Linked DNA regions of Macaca fascicularis. The protein of the gene in region 1 binds, or shares a complex with, the protein of each later gene. Links are inferred from orthologs where the notes say so. Each region holds a gene or a part of one and is shown in the gene's direction. Other genes may lie near its edges.

What was found. Proteins that work in one complex are often made in the same cells at the same time.
Region 2: CACNB1 (region 1) and CACNG1 share a complex: the UniProt entries of both Homo sapiens proteins name them as parts of the calcium channel complex. The link is inferred for Macaca fascicularis from reciprocal best matches to the Homo sapiens genes CACNB1 and CACNG1.

The regions. Positions count from the first base shown.
Region 1 is NC_088390.1:60,213,037-60,216,536, reverse strand, and holds part of CACNB1 (voltage-dependent L-type calcium channel subunit beta-1), read left to right. Parts: intron 1-7; coding exon 8-88; intron 89-490; coding exon 491-549; intron 550-727; coding exon 728-837; intron 838-995; coding exon 996-1,147; intron 1,148-3,500. UniProt on the Homo sapiens protein: Regulatory subunit of L-type calcium channels. Regulates the activity of L-type calcium channels that contain CACNA1A as pore-forming subunit.
Region 2 is NC_088390.1:73,474,212-73,478,147, forward strand, and holds the start of CACNG1 (voltage-dependent calcium channel gamma-1 subunit), read left to right. Parts: upstream 1-1,136; 5' UTR 1,137-1,241; coding exon 1,242-1,470; intron 1,471-3,936. UniProt on the Homo sapiens protein: Regulatory subunit of the voltage-gated calcium channel that gives rise to L-type calcium currents in skeletal muscle. Regulates channel inactivation kinetics.

The DNA.
Region 1 (3,500 bases):
CCCCCAGACAGAGCATGTGCCCCCCTATGACGTGGTGCCTTCCATGAGGCCCATCATCCTGGTGGGACCGTCGCTCAAGGGCTACGAGGTAGGACTCCCTAGAGGGGAGTGGATGCAGAGGGGCCTTAGAAAGATCTTCAGACCCCAGAGAGATCCCCTAGAAGGGCCTAGATCCCAAGGCATCCTCCCCGGAGGGCTACAGACCTTCAGAGAGAACCCCCAGGGGGCCTAACCCACAGGAAGACCCACACAGAGGAACCCCGTCCCCCAAAGGAACCCCCAGAAAAGTCCTCCCAGAGATGCCACTTACAGGGACCTTTGGAACCAGAGACCCCAGTGGAGACCCCTCAGACCCAGACCCCTGCCCACCATAAAGTCCTGTTCGGAAGAAAGTGGAACGTGAGGGTACAAATACCCAGCTGCTCAGAGTCTGAGTGGCTTTAAATGCCTACCTTCTCCTCCTTCCCTCCCCACAAACCCCCACCCCCAGGTTACAGACATGATGCAGAAAGCTTTATTTGACTTCTTGAAGCATCGGTTTGATGGCAGGTAAGACCCTGGGAGCTGCTCCTCGCACCTGCCATTGCTCTCTGCTGCTGGGGATGGGCCGGATGCCTCGAATCACAGTCCTGGGACTGAGGAACAGAAGGCGGGCCTGGAACTGGGGAGTGGGCAGGGCATTCCAGCCCACTCTGATCCCTGACTTCCCTCTTGCCCCATTCCCCAGGATCTCCATCACTCGTGTGACGGCAGACATTTCTCTGGCTAAGCGCTCAGTTCTCAACAACCCCAGCAAACACATCATCATTGAGCGCTCCAACACACGCTCCAGCTTGGGTGAGCCCACCCCTGCTGTCTTCACTCACCCTTTCTGGGCTGGACGTGGGAGGGGTGGGAGTTAGTGGGCAGGGCCATCTCCAGAAGCGTTCCCTCCACCTACTACCTCCTGGGAGGCCACCTGACATTCCCCCATCCACATGACTCCGTGCCCCCAGCTGAGGTGCAGAGTGAAATCGAGCGAATCTTCGAGCTGGCCCGGACCCTTCAGTTGGTTGCTCTGGATGCTGACACCATCAATCACCCAGCCCAGCTGTCCAAGACCTCGCTGGCCCCCATCATTGTTTACATCAAGATCACCTCTCCCAAGGTGGGTGCAGGAGCCTGACCCTGGCCGGGACAGCATGGTTTAAAAGGAGTGCTCTGGAGTCGGGCTGCTTGGGTTTAAATCCCAGCTCCATGGCTTACTGATTGTGTGACTTAATCTACCCGAGTCTTAGTTTCCTTCTCTGTAAAGCTCCATGGTATTGTCAAGTGTTTCAACATCACATAAATGTATAGCACTTAGCAAATGGTCTGATACAACACGTTAGCTATTATTTACTACTATTAGGGTCATGCAGACCAGTCCCCTGTCTCCACCCTGATTGACCTCCCACCCTTGGACTGAAAGAATTCTGTGCTTTTTGTTCCAGTGCCACCCAGCTACTTGGCAGTTGGGAGGTCTTTCCTTTCTTCTTCTTCTTTTTTTTTTTTTTTTTAAGTCAGGGTCTTGCTCTGTCACCCAGGCTGGAATGCAGTGGTGCAATCATGGTTCACTGCAGCCTCTACCTCCTGGGCTAAAGCGATCCTCCCACCTCGGCCTCCCAAGTAGCTGGGACTAGTGGGTAGGTGTCCACTACCATGCCTAGCTAATATTTGTATTTTTTAGAGACAGGATCTAGCTGTGTTGCCCAGTTGCTTTACTCTCTCGATATCAACCCTTTTTGCTGCAGTGTCCTCATTTGGACTTTGATAGAGGGGGAATCTGCAAGAAGGCCGTCTTACTTTTTCCTTGTATTGCAGCACCATTAACTTTCCCTTCTAGATGCCAGTGGGGATCTGAGAAACATGGAGGAAGAGTTGAGGTGAAGGATTTGAAGTTAACAGACAGCATGGGCTTGAAATTCTAGCTCTGATTGATTTACATATTGATTTATTATTACTGTTGGTTTTTCTTATTGAACTTGGAAACTTGGGGGAATTATTTAGCCTCTGATTCTCTATTTCTTCACCTATAAAGTGGGGTTATAATCCCTCTCGTGTTATTGTTGAGAGGAATGGTGTAAGCAGCTCAGTATACTCTCTGATTTATTTATTTGTTTATTTGTTTTTTTTTTTGAGACCAAGTGTCGCTTGTCGCCCAGACTGGAGTGCAGTGGCACGATCTCGGCTCACTGCAAGCTCCACCTCCTGGGTTCACTGAGCCATTCTCCTGCCTCAGCCTCCTGAGTAGGTGGGACTACAGGCGCCCGCCACCACACCCGGCTAACTTTTTGTATTTTTATAGAGACGGGGTTTCACCGTGTTAACCAGGATGGTCTCAATCTCCTGACCTTGTGATCTGCCCGCCTCAGCCTCCCAAAGTGCTGAGATTACAGGCGTGAGCCACTGCGCCCGGCCTATTTTATTTATTTATTTATTTATTTTGAGATGGAGTCTGGCTGTGTCGCCCAGGCTGGAGTGCAGTGGCACAATCTCGGCTCACTGCAAGCTCCGCTTCCTAGGTTCAGGCCATTCTCCTGCCTCAGCCTCCCGAGTAGCTAGGACTACAGGCACCCGCCACCATGCCTGGCTAATTTTTTGTATTTTTAGTAGAGAGAGGGTTTCACCGTGTTAGCCAGGATGGTCTCGATCTCCTGACCTCGTGATCTGCCCACCTCGGCCTCCCAAAGTGCTGGGATTACAGGCATGAGCCACCGTAACCAGCCTACTCTCTGATTTATGAGGGCAGCCAGTAGTGGTAACCATTATCATCCCATGAGCTGAGCTCCCTGGACCAGTTACTTAACTTTTTTTTTTTTCTTTTTTTGAGACAGAGTCTTGCTCTGTCACCCAGGCTGGAGTGCAGTGGTGTGATCTCACTCACTACAGCCTCTGCCTCCCAGGTTCAAGCAATTTTTGGGCCTCAGTCTCCTGAGTAGCTGGGGTTAGGATTATGGGCGCACACCACCACATCTGGCTTTTTTTTTTTTTTTTTTTTTTGAGACAGAGTCTCACTCTGTGACTCAGGCTGGAGTGCAGTGGTGCAATCTTGCTCACTGCAACCTCCACCTCAAGTAATTTGCCTGCCTCACCCTCCTGAGTAGCTGGGACTACAGGCGCATGCCACCACACCCGGCTAATTTTTGTATTTTTAGTAGAGATGGGGTTTCACCATGTTGGTCAGGTTGGTCTTGAACTCCTGACCTCGTGATCCGCTGTCCTCGGCCTCCCAAAGTGCTAGGATTACAGGTGTGAGCCACCGGTCCTGGCCACACCTGGCTAATTTTTGTATTTTTAGTAGAGACAGGTTTTCACCATGTTGGCCAGGCTGGTCTCAAACTCCTGACCTCAAGTGATTCTCCTGCCTCAGCCTCTCTAAGTGCTGGGATTACAGGTATGAGCCACTGCACCCAGCCGACTTAACCTTTCTGAGTCCTATGTTTCTAATGAGATAAAGGGGATGATGGGATTTAAGTACT
Region 2 (3,936 bases), about 13 Mb from region 1:
TCCTGATCATGCATCAGCCTCTCGGCTACACCCAAAAAGGGCCACCCAGTGAGCTGAGAAGGGAGAGATGGCACAACCCAGGAGAGACGTAGAGGCCGCAGCCTCGGGGACAGGCCTGGGGGCCAGGCAGGCGCACAGGACCCTCGGAGGGTGGTCGATCCCAGGCTTTCTGTGTTCTCTGCCATATCCGCACACCCATGAGCTCCTGATGATCCCCTATAAATCAACCTATTCGTTCTTTTTCACTCACACACATATTTTGCAAATTAAAACGTAACTGGAAAATCGTTATCACCTGCTGTTAGTAGAAGGCAAAACCAAACACAGTGCCCTGAAAACAGAACAACCAAGTCCAGCAGGATTCCTCGTCCTCTTCAGGCCGTTCTCGCTTTGTTTCAGAGGACACTTTGCGGGCAGTAATGACACTGACCTCGAACGGAGCTCTGCTCTGGACCCAGTTTTGGGGATGGAAAGAGAATTGAAAAGGAAGTAATGTTCTCGTGGAGGGATCAGAGTTGGGTAAGGCCAGGCCTGGGAACCACCTAAAATCTTCCTGTGGTTTGCGGGATGCTGTGGGGTTTGTGGCTAAAACGCTTGCCTGAGAGGTGGACTCCACAGGCCCCGGACAGGGTCCCTGGGATGTCCCTAGACAGAATCCTAGGCCCCCCAGATCCCAGGATGAGAACCTACTCACTGCCCCGCCGGTAGTAGGCTTACAATGTGGGAGCCCGGGACGGCCGTGCAGCCTGCAGCTCCTGGTCTCCTCCCCTGGCCTGGGGTGCCCTTTCCCATCAGCCCAGAGCAGACAGATCTCCACCCCTGGGGCCCTGCTGCCCACCCCTCGCCCCCTCCCAACTCAGGCACCCTGAGCTGCTACTCCATAGAGGCCTCAATCCACCATCCAGAGCCTTCTCTCCTTGCCCCGCCCCCCACTGGGGTATTTCTGGCTCCCAGAGGGGCAGACAGCGCTGAAACCCGAGCAGAAGCCGTCCCCGGTGCCACGCCTGGAGAGGGGCATTAATAGCAGCCTTCCTCAGGCCCCTGACGCGTCTGGGCAGCTGCTCAGCACATCCCGCGTCCCTCAGCCCCAGGGCCAGCCCACTCTGGCTCAGCCAGGCACACTAAACTTAGTGGCCACTCCCAACTCGACAACCACCGCCACCCCCCAGCTCGGCTGTCACCTGCCGGAGGAGACGCAGCCGCCAGACCCTGCCCAGGGCACCCACGCCTCGGCGACCACCATGTCCCAGACCAAAACGCTGAAGGTCCGCGTGACCCTCTTCTGCATCCTGGCAGGCATCGTGCTGGCCATGACGGCCGTGGTAACCGACCACTGGGCTGTGCTGAGCCCCCACATGGAGCACCACAACACCACCTGCGAGGCGGCCCACTTCGGCCTCTGGCGGATTTGTACCAAGCGCATCCCCATGGACGACAGCAAGACCTGCGGGCCCATCACCCTGCCCGGGGGTAACGTACCCACCCTCCGTCCCGATCCCCACCTCCCGCCCTTCCCCGTCGTCCCCCGGACAAATTTGCCCATGCCAAGGAAGGCAGGTTTCTCAGGCTAGAGATAGGGCAGCCGCCCAGCCCTTTCTGCCCAGGGAAGAAGATCTGAATTGCATGTGCTGTGCTGGTGGCTGGGGCTGGGTTGTAAGACGAGGGCGTTTGTCCCAGCTATTTCTGTCTGGCTGGACCCTGGGGCTTTTCGCCCAGAACAGAGAGCTGGGCAGGCTCAAGACGGGAACCGCAGCTCTACCAGCCCAGGGACTTCTGGGCTCCATCTGGTCACTCTCTCCCTGCAAAGACATGCTGGGTGGCTCTGTGTCCTCAGGCTGGGGGAAACCATGGAGCTGGCAGGTTTGTCCCTGGCCTCAAGGCAGGGGAGGAGAGAGGACAGGCGACGGAATATGCAGGGTCCTGTGCAAAATGAAAATGCAGGGTTCCTTGCTCCAAATTACCAAGGATTTCAAGGCAGCGATAGCAGCACATGAATCCAAGCATGGACCCTTGTGGGCCCTGGGCCTGGAGAAGCTGCACAGGTTGAATGCCTGTGAAGCAGGACGTGGCTGTGGGTGAGCCACCTGCCCCTACCTTTTTTTTTTTTTTTTTTTTTTTTTTGAGACAGAGTTTTGCTCTGTCGCCCAGGCTGGAATGCAGTGGTACAATCTTGGCTCACTGCAACCTCCGCCTCCTGGACTCAAGTGATTCTCCTGCCTTGGCTTCCCCAGTAGCTGGGATTACAGGCATGCGCCGCCACACCCATCTAAGTTTTGTACTTTCAGTACAGACGGGGTTTTGGCATGTTGACCAGGCTGGTCTTGAACCCCTGACCTCAGGTGATCCACCTGCCTTGGCCTCCCAAAGTGCTGGGATTACAGGCGTGAGCCACCGTGCCTGGCCTCCGCCCGCCCTTTTGTCAGGACGTCAGTCCATTATGCATCCTCCGTTAGCTCAGACCCTGTCAGAGTTACAAAGCATTTCCTCACCCTGTAATTTAAGCGTGTTCCTCGATTTCCTACCATGTGACCGAACCACATGTCGAAGGTAAGCTCCTTTTCAGGAGTACCTGGTAGTTGCATGACTAGCCTCTATTCTGCAAATGCCGAGGCTTCTGGATTCTTAGCAAATACAGCACTTTAGAGGAAAGGGTGCTACGTGGAGACCAGGCGGCCAGGGATCTAGTCACCATTGCCCATTACCCTCAAATGACCATCCAGCGAGGACAAAGATCATCTCAGCCTCTGCTTCTTCCTCTATAAAATATGGGACTGACTCTCAGCAATGTAAGATCCCTTCCCAGGTTTACAGACGCCCATCCACAGTGGCAGTGGAGCAGGGTTATGTCAGTGTGATGTCCCACCTGGTTTTCAGGATTATTCCCTCTTTTACCAGACTTTGGTGTTCCTTGAAACCTGTCCTTCAAGGACACTAGGGCTGAGTCCCCAAAGATCTTGCAGTCTGCATGTGAACCAAAGAGCCAACACCCCATCCTCCCATATCTCTGCTCCCTCTTCTTTCCCTGCTGCTTGCTCCAGAGATCCCCTCCCTCATTCACGCCCACTGGACGCCCAGAAGACTCGTAAGTGCCCAACTGTTATAGAAACACCGAGTCCCAGGGCTGAGGGTGACAGGTGTGGCCATGTGCTGGCAGGGTATCGCATAGCCCGGATGCCCATGCCCCTTGGCGACTGCCAAGCACACCCATAAACAGGCAATCCCTCCAGCCAACTCCCCTGGGCAGGGCAGGGCAGGGCAGCTTCTTCAGGGACCACGCATAGGGACGTGCTGTTACAGTCCTGTTCACCCGTCCTTGGAACCATCTGCCTTTTAAAGTCAGAGCAGAGGACTGGGCAGTGAGCAGAGTCCACACAAGGAAGAGACAGGCTGGTGAGAGGTGACTAGACCAATTACAGGGGACCAACAGGCATTGCTTGTTGGACCAACAGGCCTTGAGCCTCACCAGGATCTACCTCTTTGCCTTCTTAGCCTAACCAGCTATGAACCATACTTCCCACACTTGTGACACTGAGCACTACCTTTCTCCCAGTCATCTTCCAAAGTATGTTCCTACCTTTTTCCCTCTCTTTTCTCTGCAAATGGACATCTTTCTCCTTCCCCATATGCCCTTCTTGTGCCCCCTGGGACCATTCTTGTCTGGAGGGAGGAAGCGGGTTGATATGTGGCCTCTCATTTATTATTAACAACAACAACAATAATAATGGCACATACATGTAACCCTATGTGCCGAATATTGTTGTAAATGCTTTACGTGTATCAACTTTGAATGACATCACGAAAAAGATGATAGAGAAAAAGAACTTCCAAAAATCTTCTTCTCCATAAAAGCAATGAGAAGGCTGGTGGAAATGGTCAGAATCAACATTTTCAGAACTCTGGAAATTAACCAAAGTCCAGCAAGAAAAATGGGTGAAT